3 linked regions of the Drosophila melanogaster genome follow. The gene in region 1 interacts genetically with each later gene. Each region holds a gene or a part of one and is shown in the gene's direction. Other genes may lie near its edges. The genes, in order: Toll-6, wek and Myd88.

Evidence for each region.
Region 2: of Toll-6 (region 1) and wek, changing one suppresses a phenotype caused by changing the other (phenotypic suppression), as found in Drosophila melanogaster (one study listed by BioGRID).
Region 3: of Toll-6 (region 1) and Myd88, changing one enhances a phenotype caused by changing the other (phenotypic enhancement), as found in Drosophila melanogaster (one study listed by BioGRID).

Annotation. Positions count from the first base shown.
Region 1 is NT_037436.4:15,334,742-15,339,776, forward strand, and holds the start of Toll-6 (Toll-6), read left to right. Parts: upstream 1-1,950; 5' UTR 1,951-2,483; coding exon 2,484-5,035.
Region 2 is NT_033779.5:15,765,633-15,770,379, reverse strand, and holds wek (weckle), read left to right. Parts: upstream 1-2,030; 5' UTR 2,031-2,148; coding exon 2,149-2,274; intron 2,275-2,334; coding exon 2,335-3,240; intron 3,241-3,300; coding exon 3,301-3,647; intron 3,648-3,711; coding exon 3,712-3,745; 3' UTR 3,746-4,247; downstream 4,248-4,747. Other genes in the region: Ku80, read left to right, coding at 9-1,641; CG3793 (uncharacterized protein), read right to left, coding at 4,669-4,705. UniProt on the Drosophila melanogaster protein: Acts as an adapter to assemble/stabilize a Toll/wek/Myd88/tube complex; required for efficient recruitment of Myd88 to Toll. Dispensable for innate immune response; plays a minimal role, if any, in the immune defense against Gram-positive bacteria and fungi.
Region 3 is NT_033778.4:9,302,711-9,310,801, reverse strand, and holds Myd88 (Myd88), read left to right. Parts: upstream 1-2,079; 5' UTR 2,080-3,007; coding exon 3,008-3,533; intron 3,534-5,045; coding exon 5,046-5,335; intron 5,336-5,399; coding exon 5,400-5,568; intron 5,569-5,641; coding exon 5,642-5,828; intron 5,829-6,466; coding exon 6,467-6,908; 3' UTR 6,909-7,979; downstream 7,980-8,091.

The DNA of each region.
Region 1 (5,035 bases):
TTGATAACTACCGAAAAAAGAATACCAGGCCGGGGAAGAAATATTCCTTCTTGGTTGCATGTGCCACCACACAAAGGAAAGCGAGCCACAAAACCTCGTCCTTGCCGCCATTTACATTTGAAAGAGCCTGCGAAAGCCTGAAGGTGAGTAAAATAAGGGGTGCACTGAAGGAAAATCTTGTGAATAAAACAGTAATACATCCCTGTACAAGAGTAATTGGTAAAAGAAAAACATCATGTGCCTAAATAACTAATATTTTTAGCGAATATCTTACTGAGAAAATCTCTCAAATTAAGACTGAACTGCAATAGTTTTCTTCACTGTGCAGGAGGCTTATTAGACTTGGCTGCTGTTCGTGGCTCTGCTGCTGCTCCTGCTGGTGATATAATTTTAATAACTTACATAATATATTCTTTTGTGTGGCCAAGCCACATAATTGTTAGAAACATTAGGCAAATCATTACCCCAGCACGAAAAATGGGTGGGAGGCGTTCTGTTGGCTGACGCAATTTGGCAAAAATGTTTTTGTGTTTGCTTTTAGTGGCGACAAAAAGATCCTTAGCCACAACACCCATGGATATGGGAAAACTTTCAAGCCAGCTAAGAAATATTAGCCCAAGATAAAGTGTCCAGGGCAGCTGTTTTTCTTGGGAATTAGTCATGAAAGACCCGAAGTTTATCAAGGTTACCATGCCGTGGTAATCGCCATTGAATTTGTTGGCGGTGATCCATCAATATTTCTGCTTTCACCCAAATATTGAACAATCAAAATACATACATGCCGGAGGTTAACGAAATAAGGAACAATAGACAGTCTTCTTTGTAAATTAACCCTTGGAAAATTTCCTTGATAGATTGATTTCTTTTTCGAGATACCAGGACTACTTTAGGTAAGATTATAATACATTCATCAAAATCATAGGCGCGTGAAGCAAAAATTGTATATTTATTATTTGAAGTAGTAAAATGTTCCAAGTGTAATTAATCTCAAAGAAATATTAATTTAAGTCCAAAAGACAATAACATAATTCAAAATTTAAGTAACTACAAAAATCTGAATTTGCAGTGTGCGATTTAAGATATCCTATAAAAGGAGCTTTTTATAAAAACTCTGCTCACGAATTTTCATATTTGCTATTTCCAGCATCTCCCAATCGAGTCTAACCAAGTCCTTGCATAACTTTCCGGATTTGAGAACGAGGAATCCACAGAAATCCCCACACATCCAAAGCCCAACGAAACCCCATAATGCTGGCCCATAATCATTATCATTAACCTGATGGGGAAGACAGTTTTTTGCTGCTTTGCTGGGCGAAAAAGAAGTCATGAAACCACAGGAATTGTTACATGAGGCGCAAACAAAACAGTTTAATTAAAATTATTATTGTAATTTAATGGAATGTGAGGAATTATTATTTTTATACGGGTCTGGGCCCACGAAACAGGAGCAAAAAGCAGCCGAAGGACCTTCTCGGCACACCGACACACACATGCACATGGCATAAAAATAAATTACGTTTGTATGAAGATTGGCGCTGGCCCATGCACATCATATATTTTCATTATCAAAACAGAGACAGCAGAGAAGTCGCCGGTTGGCGGCGGGGGGTGCGGAGCTCTATCTCCGATTCGGCGGCAAAAAAATAAAGGATATACGAAATACGACGAAAAAAGACAGAGAAAATCAAAAGGAAAACACGAACGAACGCCAGCTGTTCGATGCGATTAGATGGAGAGAAAGAAAAACATTTTCCAGCATCCGTCGAGCCAGAGCGAATTTCCCTTTAGTCATACTCTCCGAAAACTCTCAGCATTTCCCGCCCGTGCAGAGCCTGTCGGCTGCTCTTCGTCTGTTTTCCAGCCCCCTTCGGCTCGCGTTCGGCTTTTCGGATTTTCGGGGTTTCGAGTTCGTGGACGACTCTCCATTTAAAAGAGAAGTTGCGCACGTTGCGGCAGTCAGTCGAAAATCAGCCAACGTGCGCGTTACATTACGAACCGGAAAATATCGACGCTGCTGCACCGCTCAAGTCCCAGAAAAAGTGGGTTCAGTTCAGCCAAATGAAAAAGTGATAATAGAAGTCGAGCCCGCAGCTAAATTGAAATTCATCAAAGGTTCCTATAACGCGACGTGTAATAAACAAAAACTTCGAAGCGAGTAATTCAAAGCGCCGAAACGAATAAAAAAGAAAAATTTAAATATAAAGAGGATAGAAAAGGCCAAGTGCTAGAAAATGTGCCGGGTGTAAGAGAGAAGAAAACACGGAGAGCATAATTAACTAAAGAATCGGGGGAAAATAAAGAAAATCTGGCTTGGAGTAGAGGGAGCACAGAAGCCGAAAATATGTGCGCAGACTTTTCTTTGGCCAGCCAGTGGAATTGATTTTCTTTTCGTTTCTCCCCAAGACCCCCGCTTGTACCGTCTTTCCCCCCTCCGCAAACCCATTTTCCGGTGCCTCCACGCAGCTAAACCGTGAATCGCCAAAATGATCTACTATATGCTACTCATACTGCCCGTGGTCCTGGCCCAGGATCAGCAGCACACCACGGAATCGCTGTCCACCAAGCACCACCAGCAGCAGCAGCTGTCGCACTCGAATGCGATAATGGGTGAGGCTGGGGTCTCCAACTCGCAGCTAATGCAGCCCTCGACTCCGGCGCGAACCCTGCGACCCTTGACCGCGGGCGCGGGTGGTGACCCTTCGCTGTATGACGCCCCCGACGACTGTCACTTCATGCCAGCAGCGGGTCTGGATCAGCCGGAAATAGCCTTAACGTGCAACCTGCGCACGGTGAACAGCGAGTTTGACACAACCAATTTCAGTGTTATACCCGCCGAGCACACGATTGCCCTGCACATACTGTGCAATGACGAAATCATGGCCAAGAGTCGCCTGGAGGCGCAATCTTTCGCCCATCTGGTTAGGCTCCAGCAGCTGTCCATCCAGTATTGCAAGCTGGGGCGACTGGGTCGCCAGGTTCTGGATGGTCTGGAGCAGCTGAGGAACCTGACGCTCCGGACGCACAACATCCTGTGGCCAGCGCTGAATTTCGAGATAGAAGCGGATGCCTTCTCGGTCACTCGGAGGTTGGAGAGACTGGACCTCAGTTCGAACAACATCTGGTCCCTGCCGGATAACATATTCTGCACCCTGTCCGAGTTGTCTGCCCTGAACATGAGCGAGAATCGCCTGCAGGACGTCAACGAGCTGGGCTTCAGGGATCGCAGCAAGGAGCCAACCAATGGTTCCACCGAATCCACCTCCACCACCGAATCGGCCAAAAAGAGCAGTAGCTCAAGCACCAGTTGTTCGCTGGACCTGGAGTACCTGGATGTGAGCCACAATGATTTCGTCGTGCTGCCAGCAAATGGATTTGGCACTCTGAGGAGGCTGCGAGTCCTTTCGGTCAACAACAATGGCATCTCCATGATTGCGGACAAGGCTCTCAGTGGACTGAAGAACCTGCAGATCCTGAACCTGAGCTCCAACAAAATCGTGGCCTTGCCCACAGAACTCTTCGCTGAGCAAGCCAAGATTATCCAAGAGGTGTACCTGCAGAATAATTCCATAAGTGTGCTGAATCCGCAGCTCTTCTCGAATCTGGACCAGCTGCAGGCCCTGGACCTGTCCATGAACCAGATAACCTCCACCTGGATCGATAAGAACACCTTTGTGGGTCTGATTCGTCTGGTTCTGCTTAATTTGTCGCACAACAAGTTGACCAAACTGGAGCCAGAGATCTTCAGCGACTTGTACACCCTGCAGATTCTTAATCTGCGTCACAATCAGCTGGAGAACATCGCAGCCGACACTTTTGCCCCGATGAATAATCTGCACACGCTGCTGCTGTCGCACAACAAACTGAAGTATCTGGATGCATATGCTCTGAACGGATTGTATGTACTGTCGCTGCTCTCGCTGGACAATAATGCGCTGATTGGCGTGCATCCGGATGCCTTCCGGAACTGCAGTGCCCTGCAGGACCTCAACTTGAATGGCAATCAGCTGAAGACAGTTCCGCTGGCCCTGAGGAATATGCGCCATTTGAGAACCGTGGATCTGGGCGAGAACATGATTACCGTTATGGAGGATAGTGCGTTTAAAGGTCTGGGAAATCTCTATGGTCTCCGCTTGATTGGCAACTACCTGGAGAATATTACGATGCACACCTTCAGGGATCTGCCTAATTTGCAAATCCTGAATCTCGCCAGAAACCGCATAGCAGTTGTGGAACCGGGGGCCTTTGAGATGACCTCGAGCATTCAAGCTGTGCGTTTGGATGGCAATGAGCTGAATGACATCAATGGCCTCTTCAGCAACATGCCCTCCCTTCTGTGGCTGAATATATCCGATAATCGTTTGGAATCCTTTGATTATGGACATGTGCCATCCACCCTGCAGTGGCTGGACCTCCATAAGAATCGGTTGAGTTCCTTATCAAATCGTTTTGGTTTGGATAGTGAGCTAAAACTACAAACTCTCGATGTGAGCTTTAATCAACTTCAGCGCATTGGACCCAGTTCCATACCAAACTCTATCGAACTGCTGTTCCTGAACGACAACCTGATAACCACCGTTGATCCAGATACCTTTATGCACAAAACCAATCTGACCCGGGTGGATCTCTATGCGAACCAAATCACAACGCTGGACATCAAGTCCTTGAGGATTCTGCCAGTTTGGGAACATCGAGCTCTGCCAGAGTTCTATATTGGTGGAAATCCCTTCACCTGCGATTGTAACATTGATTGGCTGCAGAAGATTAACCATATAACATCGAGGCAATATCCAAGGATTATGGATCTGGAGACCATATACTGCAAGTTGCTGAACAACAGGGAGAGGGCCTATATTCCCCTGATCGAAGCTGAACCCAAGCACTTTTTGTGCACCTACAAGACCCATTGCTTCGCCGTTTGCCATTGCTGTGAGTTCGATGCTTGTGATTGCGAGATGACCTGCCCCACGAATTGCACGTGCTTCCATGACCAAACCTGGTCCACAAATATTGTGGAGTGCTCGGGCGCAGCTTATTC
Region 2 (4,747 bases), on another chromosome or scaffold:
TCACTTAGAACTCACAACATAGCCTACATAGACAATGCCATCACTTCTCAGCCTCAGGCTATTTTCAACTTTTCGCGCAAATGCGGCCCCGATGAGCTGAATAACCAGAAGTACGCCCTCAGTCTCGTTCCTCGCTGCAATGCGACGTTGTGCAGCTTCAAGGAGGCACTGCATACCGTCTTCAAGGTGACCAACCGGCGACCCTGGGTGTGGAACGCAAAGCTGAACATCGGCAGCAAGATCTCCATTAGCCTGCAGGGCATAATCGCCATGAAGAACCAGACGCCCGTAAAGCTGGTAAAGGTCTGGGCGGAAAAGGATGAGATAGTGATACGGGAGACTCGTCATTATATCAAAGGCACTGAGATCACCCCGCTGCCGGAGAATCTGATAACCGGTTACATGCTGGGCGGCACTCCGGTGCCATACGACGAGGCCGTGCTAGAGCCAAAGGAACCACACCCACCTGGTCTCCACTTCTTTGGCTTTATCAAAAGAAATGCCGTGCCGGATGAGTACTTTTGTGGCGAGTCCTTGTACCTCCTGGTGCATCAGAAGCACAATCAATCTGCCGCCGTGAAGCTGGACGCTCTGGTGCGTGCTCTCGTTTCTTCGGATCGGGCCATACTGTGCTGGAAAATATATAGCACCAAGTTTAATAGACCGCAAATGGTTGTGCTACTGCCCCGCTTAGCAGACGATACCCATCCGGCTACTTTGTATATGCTGGAAGTTTCCTATACGTCTCAGCACCACTTCTGGGACTTTCCGGCACTGCGAACCACCAAGACGGAGTGCAGCGAGGAACAGCTGAATGCCATTGATCAGTTAATCGATAGCACCGATCTGGAGTGCACACTGCGGGACACGCAGCAGCCACGTCCGTGGGCGCAGAATGATCTGCTGCCGTTCGACGCACTTCCCAGCATCTTTGAGCAGAATGTCATGGACATCCTAGAGCGAAAAGTTATCTATGATAACGACAAGGAAGACAAAATGCTTAAGGACAAAAACTTCGCAGATGTATTCTGGCGAGTGCCAGATCCCTTGGAGGAGAAGTCAAAGAGAGCGGCAGCCATCGTAAAGAAGCTATTTCCATTGCGCTATAGTCGCGCCTGGCAGGAAAAGCTGTTGGCCAAGGAGCAGGCAGAGAATGGTGTGGCAGTCAAGTCGGAACCAGCGGAGAAGGAAATCCCGTTGCCATCAGACGGTGTGGGCTTAATTGATCCAATCTCTGATTTCAGGCGAGTCCTGGCTAGCGTTCACACAATCAGTAATGCCACTGAGCGAGATGCCCGCTTTCAGGCGCTGGCTGCCGATACCCGCGTGGTGATCATCACACTGCTGCAGCGCAGGAAACAGAACATCGGGCAACTGGGCGAGCTCATCACCCTGTACCGACAGAGCTGTATAGACTTCAACACCTTTTTGGAATACGACAAGTTCGCTGAGGAGCTGAAGAAGATCGCGCTGGCCAAGAATCGCAGCGAATTCTGGCAAGACGTTATGGTCGACAAGCAATTGGGCCCTTTGGTGCTTGGCGAGCCGACGCTGGACGACGAATTGGCTCTAAAAGCCTATTACACCATCGAGAATTGGGTGGAGAGTGGGGCGAACGATATGGAAGACGTTGAGATGTAGTTTATCATTCCATTTTGTTATATTAAGCAAATGTGCTAAAATTAGTTTTTGTTATACACAGTTTTTCTTATATGTAAGTCGAAAATAAATTATTATATTGTTTATATATATATACCAGAGTAAAAACTCGGTCGCATGTTTTAAAAACAACATTATATCCCTGGGAAACCACATCCAAATGATGATGATAATACATCTCTATGTTAATAAACATCGACACGCAGGAAGGAAAACGTTAGTAATACTTCTTATGATTGAGAAAAAAAAGTAAAATAAATACAATTTTCAATTCCAAATTTAAACTGAATACTTTTTGAAAATGGCGGCAACAACTTGTTGTTTTGCACTTATCGATATTTCCAAAAATCATCGGAGTGCGCATACCAATTAATCGATTCGGAATTCCGCTCCATACAGCTGATTTTAATCAGCGCTTTGGCAATAGAATTTAGTCAAAACCCGAGGGCATACTGTACCAAACTGTGGGGCTTCTGTTGAGGATTAGCCATGGGAGTTCCCACAAGCGATTGGATATACTGGTGTCGCCTGTGCGCCCGCGACGACGTTGTATACAAAGTGCGCGAGCGGGACGACGATCTGGTTAGGATTATCAGCAAATGCTTTGATGTGGAGGTATGTTATTCGTTTTCCCAGCCTACAGATAGCTTATACATTAGTTTTCCACACACGCAGATGACCCTCGAGGAACCGGAACTGGGCAGCATGTTGTGCGAGGAGTGCTACTCGGTGATTGGCCAGCTGATCACCTTCTCGGATAGCGTTTCCAAAGTACAAGCCATTTTTGAGCTTCTGCGACACTCGGAGCCGCAGGATAGCCAGGACTTGGACGCCCTGCGTCTGGAATACGGCCTTCCGCCGGCCTGCAAGCAGGACCTCGAGTTCCTGGACATAGACGATACGGAGGATAGGTGTTCCTTGGTAGAGGAGCTAACGATATCAGACCATTCCACATCTCCGTCACCCGATTTTGAAGCACAGACCGTGCGAACACGAGCTAATCTCAAACAGTGTAATTCCGATCCCAAAGTGCTAGCCTCACCTACTGCATCAATTCCTGAAGTTGAAACAAAACGAAGTCGCCGACAGCAGTTTGCGGCTAAGCGAAATTCCAAAGTGTACACTGCAACCGAGTCGGATGATGAGGAGGCCATTCTAGACGAAGACGAGGCCGTATCCCCGCCGCCTTTGAAGCGAAAAAGAGGCAGACCCAAGGGCTCAGGCAAACAGAAAAACGTGGACGACAGCGATAACGTAACTTCCCGCGAACCAGACGACAATGCTAAATCCAAACAAGATGACAAGACATCCGAATTGAGCATGTCACCCCATGGCTCCCAGAGTTCGAATTTCGTCGATTATCCCTGCAAAATCTGCAACGAAACCTTTATGTCCTTCATGGCTCTGCGCAGGCACAAGCACGACATGCACGGCGGTCCGAAGAAATACGTTTGCGATCACTGCGGAAAGGGTTTGAAGACCTTCACATCGCTGGTGGAGCACCAGCTGGTTCACACGGAAGAGAAGCCCTGTATATGCCCCGTCTGCAATGCTGGTTTTAAGAACAAAGCTAGGCTGAGAGTAAGTCATCGAATAATCTTGTGGACCAACTAAATCTTGAAATTTGTATACAATTTCCAGGTGCACAGTCAGACACATGGTGAGCCCAAGTTTGAGTGCAATGTCTGCGGCAAAAAGCTGCAGACACGGGCGATTCTTAACAAGCACAAGTATGTGCACACGGATGAGCGGCGCTTCAAGTGCGAGGTTTGTGGCAGCGGCTGTAAGAACTCCACGGCCTTGAAGATCCATCTCCTTGGACACACCGGCCTCAGACCCTACGTATGCAAGTACTGCGGAAAGGCGTTCGCCAGCAACACCAACTGTCGCTCCCACAAATGGAAAAAACATCCGGAACTGGCGTCCAAGGAGGATGAAACCGAATCTTCACGTGTTCCAGTGCCAACATTGGAAGAACTGAGAGCGATGTAAGCTATAGTCATGCATATTATTATTATTAGCTTACTATTGTACTAAATTTTTGGTTTGCAGAACTCGCGAGATGGCCAAGGCCAAACAGGATTAGACCATGTTGGTTGACAAAAATGTATAAATAGCAGTGCGCAGTAAAATTTTATCCCAGAGACATTTACATTTACACTTAATTAAACACACAACTGCCCTTTTTGCATTTAAATTGGTTTTTAATAAGTTTCAAAATAAATTCACTTTTTAAACGCACACTTAAATTGGGAAATGTGTTCACACATGAAAATGACATTGTATAAAAGATAATAATTGTTTGACTCACAATGTAGATTTAAAAATAACAATTGTAATTTGTGACACCAAATTATGCGTACACTTTGAAACACTCAATTGAAACTCCTGTGAGCGGTTGCAGCATATTTTAAAGATGAGCGCTATTCATAGAACTCCCACGCATGGTTCACTAGATTGCGACAAGTTGGTCTGTAGATAATTCCAAGGGCTTATTCACAATAAAATCAGTTTGAAATTATAACTCAGCAAATGTAAATGCTTCGTGCTAACACCAGATACATTGACACCTAATTAAACACACAACGGCCCTTTTTGCATTTAAGTTGGTTTTTTTTTTAATAATTTCAAAATACATTTACAATTTAAACGCACACTTAAATTGGGGAATGAATGAATGGCATATTGATCACCTATCAATATTTTGTGCCACAACTCGGTGATAAAATAGTAAATATTAAGCGATTAAATAATAAAAATGTAACAAGAGAAAAAAATATAAGGAACAACTAAATTAATACAAATTAGATCATTTGTGAGTGGGTCTCTGTGTAGGATAAATATCTAAACATGTTTTGATTTCGATGGTTTCTCTTTAATTACTTGCTGTTTAGGTTAACACGTTGAGAAGCAAAATATTTTGGCATGGCCTTCCTCCAAACCGAGCAGAGTCAATAAATAGTGCATCCAAGTAGGTTGGCTCTCTATCCCTTCCACCTTCACTCACTCCTAGTCAATGTTCAGCGAGGACATTAACTCTTCGACGCTGCATGGAAATAGAGGAAAGAAAAAATCATGTTGATTAAAC
Region 3 (8,091 bases), on another chromosome or scaffold:
ACTTTGTAGCCACAAAACAAATTTACATGCATAAACATCACATGAAAACAAAGAGAAAAATAACAAAGTGCATGATTTTAGGAAATATCTTAAAAACAAACAAATTTTTGTTTTTCCATTCAAAACTGATACGGTTAACTCTTAACTAAAAACTGGCTAAATTATTTGCAATAAATATCTGATTTAAGAGCACATGTTTCAGGTAAATTACGTGATTTTATAGTTGGACAGTTTCAGCTTTTCCTTACAATTAGTTTTCTCTGTATACGAATTTATTTGTTTTTAAGCCATTTGGCGAGCAGGGAAGCGGAATTTCAATGGCGGGCAGGGCGAAAACAAATGGAAAGCTTTAAATTAGCTCAATAAATTGTAAACTTAAACATTTAATCTACTTAGAGCGGGTCGTTGTTAAATGCAATGCAAGTACATCTGGGACAAAGAATCACACACCTCATTCAGATTTGTAAGATACGCATTTTGGCCCAGAAAGCCATTCGAATTTGACCACAAATACACACAGGCTAAAACAGAGGCTAAAATAATCAAATTTGTCGCCAGGCAGTCACAAAGGATATTTAGTATATACAATCAAACAACAATATACTTAGTAATTGCATTTAACACATGGGGCAGAGCATATCCACTAGGTTTGCAAAATTGATTTAACTGCATGCTTAAACTAACGAAAGTAAAAAGGAGATTAACTGAATGAAGGAGGTAGGGGAGACCTAATTAAAAGAACACAACTAATGTCTATATTTATGGCTAGCTAAGTGTAAAAATGTAAGCTGAATTATTATACAAACAACTACAATCGAAGCAAGTAAATTGATGTAATTGAAATACTCGAAACGTTCTAGGGCGAAATACCAATGAATATTGAATAATGACACAGGTTAAACACAAACACGCAGCAAGCATAAATTAATGAATAACGAAATTATTTCTCGAGAAAAAAATCAAACTTTTTAGCCTTTGAACGAGAGACTTTTGGTGCCCAATCCAGTTTGAGCAATTATTTACAAGTGAAAAATGAACGAAATACAAAGAAAGACACACAAACCACACCACACACAGGCAGATGTATTGTAAATAGAGCCACAAACAAACCAAATGAGTAAATACCAAGTAGGTACATTAATAACTAATGATGGGGCTTATCCGAGTAAATCAACATTAAATAAATTAACAACGGAATTCAAACAAAAGCAGGTAACTTCAACTTCAACTTGTGTGCAAGGCATCAACTTTTACTGTTAATTGTTGCTGGCAATGCAAAACGCAACGCCGACCGAAAAACGAAAACTACAAAAATAAACCATGAAAAAGCAAAACAAATATATTTAAAATACATTTGAACGCCTTCAGCGTTTTATTCATCAAGCAAAGCAAGAAATGTTGAATCGAAAGAAAAAGTCAAACAAAGCCATAAAAGCGATAAATCAATTTGTGTCACCTGTGTAGTAAGTATATCTCAGTATTTGTAACTGAAAATGAAAAGCGTTGAGGTGCAGGCATCAACCACACAAAGAACAAACAAAATCAAATGAAAATAAACTGAATTTACAAGTGCTCTCTGACTATTATTTACGAGAGTGTGGTCCTTGGTTGGCATGTTCATTTCCCCACATTATCGTCTCAAATCAGTTGATTTCGGGGAAGCAATATTTCTCGGTAAAATGAGTAAGTATGTCTTGGACAGGTCGAAATGTAAAATATTCCTTTTTGAGGCACCATTAAAGGTACCATTCTCTGCATAACTGAAAGGAGTTAGATTGCCTACATCAGCCGGTCGAATAGGAGAGTGCGTTTTTACTCACTTTACTACTCTTCTTGCTTTTGCACTAGCAAGAAATCATTATCAATTATGCTTATGAATAATTAGGAATCCTACGGCAAGAACCAACGTTCCTAAATTATATTTAACCAACCGGAAATTAAGTCAACCACTCTTAGAGCGCCATCTGGTGAATGCTTTTGGAACCTATTAAAGTGTGGCCCGCGCACCAAAAATACCGCAACCGATAACTGGCCCCGATAAAGTACCAAACCTCGCCGATGACTGGCCACCCGAAAAGCTGTGACTCGCCAAGCTTTTGCCCATCGATCGCCACGAGCTTATCGGAATCGCGATCTGATCTGAAAAGTGGGAACGCAGCGCAGATAAATTAATTAGCAATTAGCCAGTGCAAACAGAGTGTTGTCAGCCGACTAGAAAAAGCAGCTGAGCTGATAGTTCCGCCTGTGGCCCCCGCGCTTTCGCCCTGCATCGGAACGAAACCAAAATAAACAAGCGAGTGAAAGGCGGTGGAGAAAGAGCGCGGGAGAGTGAGCGCGAAGAGTAGTCCGTTGGGGAGGAGGCGGAGGAGGAGCGGACAACGAGGCAGAAACAAAAGCACAAACGGCGGACAGAACCAGTCGAAACAAAACAACAAACCGGAGCGGACGCACTCGAAAAAAGCGAAACGAATTTATTTCTGTGCTTAGGGCGACACTGTGTGCGTGCGCCACTGATTGTGAGTGTGTGTGTTGTGTATATTTAAACAATATTCAAAAAATCATACGCCAGACGAATAAAAAACGCGACGAAAACGAAGGCGAAGATCTCCATCTCCTCTCGCAGCGGAGCAGACAGATAAATAAAAACAGAATCCGAGACAGCAACAACAACGCGACTGTGACGCGGCAAGGTGCTGGAGGTCACTCGGTCCATTTCGCACCGCACTGAAGTATAGAAGTTTAGCAGTAAAGCACCACCCCCTTCTAACCAGTTTCAGCTTCATCCGCCCGCAAAAAACAAAAAAAAAACAAGCACGCGCGATCGGAAAACTCGAAAAAATCTACAGAGCAGCACAACTCACGCGCTTCATCGTTTTATTGCTCGCCGCCCTCTCGACTGATAAACGTCAGTTGATAAATATATATCGCATCACATCGCATCCACACTAAAACAAATACGCCAGCAAACAAACACCAATTATTCCAATAAAGCCAGCGCCAAGTGCGAATGCGCCCTCGATTTGTATGCCATCAGCAGCACTCGGTGGCCCATTCCCACTACCAGCCCCACTCCCACTTCCATCACCATACCCACCGCCATCCCAATCCGCCCCATCACCATCACATTTACGGCGCCACTGACGTCAGTTATCGGCGTTATCGCACCGCTGGCATGGTGGTGGCCGAGGGAGTTATGGACTCCGGGTCGGGATCGGGCACGGGAACGGGCTTGGGGCACTTCAACGAGACCCCATTATCCGCACTGGGCATCGAGACCCGCACCCAGCTGTCCCGCATGCTGAACCGCAAGAAGGTGCTGCGATCCGAGGAGGGCTACCAGCGGGACTGGCGCGGCATCTCGGAGCTGGCCAAGCAGAAGGGATTCGTCGACGAGAACGCCAACAATCCCATGGATCTGGTGCTGATCAGCTGGAGCCAGCGGAGTCCCCAGACCGCCAAGGTGGGCCATCTGGAACACTTCCTGGGCATTATCGATCGGTGGGACGTCTGCGACGATATCCAGGAGAATCTGGGTAGGCATTAACTATTTTTTACTTATGGTAGTCGCTATCTATCTATAACTAAACTATGTCACTTGAGTTTTGAGTATCATTTGTTTTAGATTAGCTTTTAAATGATGGTCTGACGATTCGACTTTTACTTCAAAATGCCATCGTGACAGTGAAAATTTAGTTAAACGTCTAGACTAACTATGTATGTTTGACTGTTCTCGAGTTTGCGAAGTTGAAGAGGAATTTTAAATAATGTACTTATCAAATGATATGTACACAAATGTTGGAAATCGGAAAATGAACCATTAAATTTTACTTTAATGGCGAGCCACACTTATCAATTATTTTTGGCTGATCCATTTTTGGTTTTATGACCGGAAAAGCCGTTTCGAGTTTATAAAAATGGACGTGGTAATCTATATAATATAGGGAGTATATGCAGAAAGCGTACATATTTAACTTATCTATCGCACATTTATCTAAGTCAAACAAAGCTTATCGTCGGATACATAAAACTATTGAGTTATGATGAGTAGATACGTAATGACAGAAATAAAAGTCACCCACTTTCCCATGATTAATTTGTGTTTATTTCTATTTATTGTCAAATAAAACGCTTCGACTTACAAGATTTTTATTACCACATCCCGACAAATTGAAAAACACACAGCCATAAAGAAAAAATTCAAAACAATAATTTCTAAAAGCCGCAAACAACAGAACTTAAACTATAGAAAATGCCAATCAGTTAAGAACGAAATTTTCTTATTTATTTGCACAATGGGGATTCACCCAGCAAAAACTGTTGTCATTAATAAAAAACCTCGAACAGTCAATTTTGTTTAGGAGCAGATGTTGTATAGATATATTCGTTGTGACCAAAATGGTTCGATTTAAAAACAAATGAACGCACTCGGAAGTTGAATGCTTAAGGTATAAAAAAGCACACATAATTAAAATCGTATTAGGAATTTTTCAAAGGAAATGTTTGAATTCCTTTTCTAATGATCTTTCATTGGGTGTTTTAGAAATATTCCAATAAAACTAAAAATAACTAAAAAAGTAAATTTTTTATAAATGTGTCGTTGATGATAACTGCTTGAATCTAGAATTCACTACCTCTTACTAGAATGATCTTTTCTGCTGACAATATATTTGGAATAAAAAGATGGGGAGACAATGGCAGACATCTGAATGGATATATGCATACACTTATCTATTCATACATAATATTGAGTTACAAATCATAAATACTACCAATTTGTTATGAAAGCTTCATATATTAGCGACTGTGTGCAGAAACTCAGATAAACTTCACTATGCCATTCCTTTAAGCTCATTATATATCAACAAAGGGTTATATTTATTATTTAATAAACATAATTTAAGTAATTTGATTTTGACATTAACATGTATAAATTGTGTTGTTTACTTTACGAATGATGTGTTAAGAAAACTTTTTGTGCGGCCTTGTAGTTTTTAGCAATCATAATCCCTTTAGTAAAACTGTTTTAATTTTGCTCTCCTCAAAAGCCAAGGACACCCAGCGCTTCATCATGAAACAGGAGCAGCGACAGACTGCTCTCGTGGAGGCGTGTCCGCCGCCCCCCAGCGACTGCTTCGAGACCAACAACAACTACAGCAGCAGCAACAACATCACAGTGGGCCAAAGTGTGCAGATCCTCAGCGACGAGGACCAGAGATGTGTACAGATGGGCCAACCGCTGCCCAGATACAACGCATGTGTTCTGTACGCGGAGGCAGACATCGATCATGCCACCGAGATCATGAATAATCTAGAGTCTGAGCGATACAATCTCAGGGTGAGTGGGATGCGCTCGGTTGCTGTGTGTTGTATTAAATAACCATGGGATCGTTCTATTGCAGCTATTCCTGCGCCACCGCGACATGCTAATGGGCGTTCCGTTCGAGCATGTCCAGCTATCCCATTTCATGGCCACCCGCTGCAATCACCTGATCGTCGTGCTCACAGAGGAGTTTCTTCGGAGTCCGGAGAACACGTACCTCGTGAACTTCACCCAAAAGATCCAGATTGGTGAGTAGCTGATACGCATTTGTATCGCAGAGCCAGAGTCGCATTACAAGTTCAACGATCTGACTTTCCCCAGAGAATCACACTCGCAAGATCATACCGATTCTGTACAAAACGGACATGCACATACCCCAGACCCTGGGCATTTACACGCACATCAAGTACGCCGGGGACTCCAAGTTGTTCAACTTCTGGGACAAGTTGGCTCGTTCCCTACACGATCTGGATGCCTTTTCGATCTACTCCACGCGCCAGGTGCAGACGTAAGTGTTGCTACTTCCTGCGATATATGTATATGTATGTGTTCCAAAAATACTTGATACATTTTTAGGGGTATAAAATCTCAAGATAATGTAGATTGCTAGCCAACAGATAAATGAGGTTTGCAAACTGAATACGAATACATGAAGTAGTCTAGTCATCCCAATTTAAGAAGCTGTTTTAGAATACATTTTATTAGCTTAAGTTTTTGATTTTACTGTTCAATTATTGCTACTGCTGGTTGTAGGGGCTGCGAAATCGTTTCACAACATTCACATAAAATGTGCAAATGTATACCAACTGCTTGTAAACAAAATATATAAGCAAATATCACATGGCGTACGAGCGATCAACCTTAGAACAGCCTAGCAGGTATTTTTATTTAGTTTTGCTAAATTCAAAGAAGATACGTTTGTTTCAGAAAGATGAACTCATACGACTTTTAAAGTGCCCAGGAAGTAATACACTGCATATGAGTAATCAAATTTGAAACAAATTTATAAACAGGAAATAAATGTATTATATATCTGGGCGTAAGATTATATTGAAGCGAAATTAGTTTTGCTGTTAATTGTAAAACATGTTGGAATTTTATCACTCATATCATAAATTTGGCATTCTCTAAAATTTCTTTATGCAGTCCCTCGCCGGTGGAGGAATCGGCTCCCCGGGTGACCACTCCCAGCATTCGGATTCAGATCAACGACAAGGATGTCACTGATATGCCAAACTACAACAGCTGCAAAGTGCCGGAGGCGGAGACCACAATCGTTTCGGTTTCCGGTGACACCGGCTCACCCCTGCCGGAGCACAAGCCGAAGAAAAAGGATCGCTTCCTGCGCAGAATCACGCACAGCTTTGGAAAGACGGCGCGGAGCGATGGGGCCAGCGGCAAGACTCTGCGTCATGCCCACTCCGTCAGCACCATAAATGTCACGGAACGCGAGAGGACACTCAGTGCCAGCAGCTCCAACATCTCCACCACGTCGGAGAGCAAGAAGAGCTTCATCAAGTGGCAGCCGAACATCCTGAAGAAGGCCCTATTCTCGCGATCCAGCAGCAAGCTGCAGACGCCGGGCTGAGATCATAGTGTTAGGATAGCCATTCATTCGATTTCTCGATTCTTTGATTCCTTGTCGTGTGCCCAGTCTAGTTGTGGCCGCCCAGTCACCAATGTCGTCACCCTCCATGCCTAGTGATAATCTTTAGCCTAATCCTTATCAAGTCAACTAACTTAATATACTTAGACGCACTTGTTAACTTATATAAGACAACAACGAATAAAGACAATACCACATATCCGCACAAATGTATCACAAAAGCACACAGACTACCAAATACGACACGATATTGCTATATGCTCTATGTATATGACTCTGGACTTGATAAACAGACAAATTGGCAATTGCGTTGAGTGAGGTTAAATACGCGACACTGCTAATCGAAGTGCTCAATTAACTGTTAGTCACGCGTTCGATAAGTGACTTACTTAATTTAATTATCTCGCGCGCCGTTCTCGCAACTCAGACCCCATCTGAGAATGAGTAATGAGCATATATAACGCATACGTACATATGGCTGCATTGTGCGAGCAGTGCTTTATCATTTTGTAAACTGCTCAAGCCGTTTTAGACGATTGCTAGCAATAAGTAAACTGTTTGTTCTCGGTACCGCCATCGGCTGGTTGCCTCATGTGATTAGCTCTAGCCTAGCTGTTACCGATTGTTACTGATTGCTGTGAATGCGTGCCCATATGCCTGATGTGCACCTAAGCACACTCACTTGTTATAAAGCAAAGACTATCAATACGTCATCCATCATCACATCGTCTCTTTCAATGTATCTAGAGTCTATATAGTATTATATGTATCTCCGGACAGTGCGTTTCAAAACCATATAGAGTCGATCGACAACCATATATTATGTCCAACTTTTGTCAAGCGACAACGAATGTGGATAAAACGCAATATACATATGTTCCTCAATGTCGGGCATCGAACGCTCGAACTTCGACCTTCGCGACACGTGGCACTTGGCGGTCATGGTTATGAAACGCACTGTATCCATATCGGAAATAAGCTAGCTCCAGTTGAGCGGCAATAAACTGTTCAATGTTTGGCTCAATAATTTATTGTTGAATGTAGACAACCTTTAGTTCGTTCATGTTTAATAAACATTGCAGTTGATGTGTGAATCCCCGTATATGTATTTACATACAGTTGTTCGCGTACATATTGAGTGGAAATGTTTATCGACCAGTTCCGG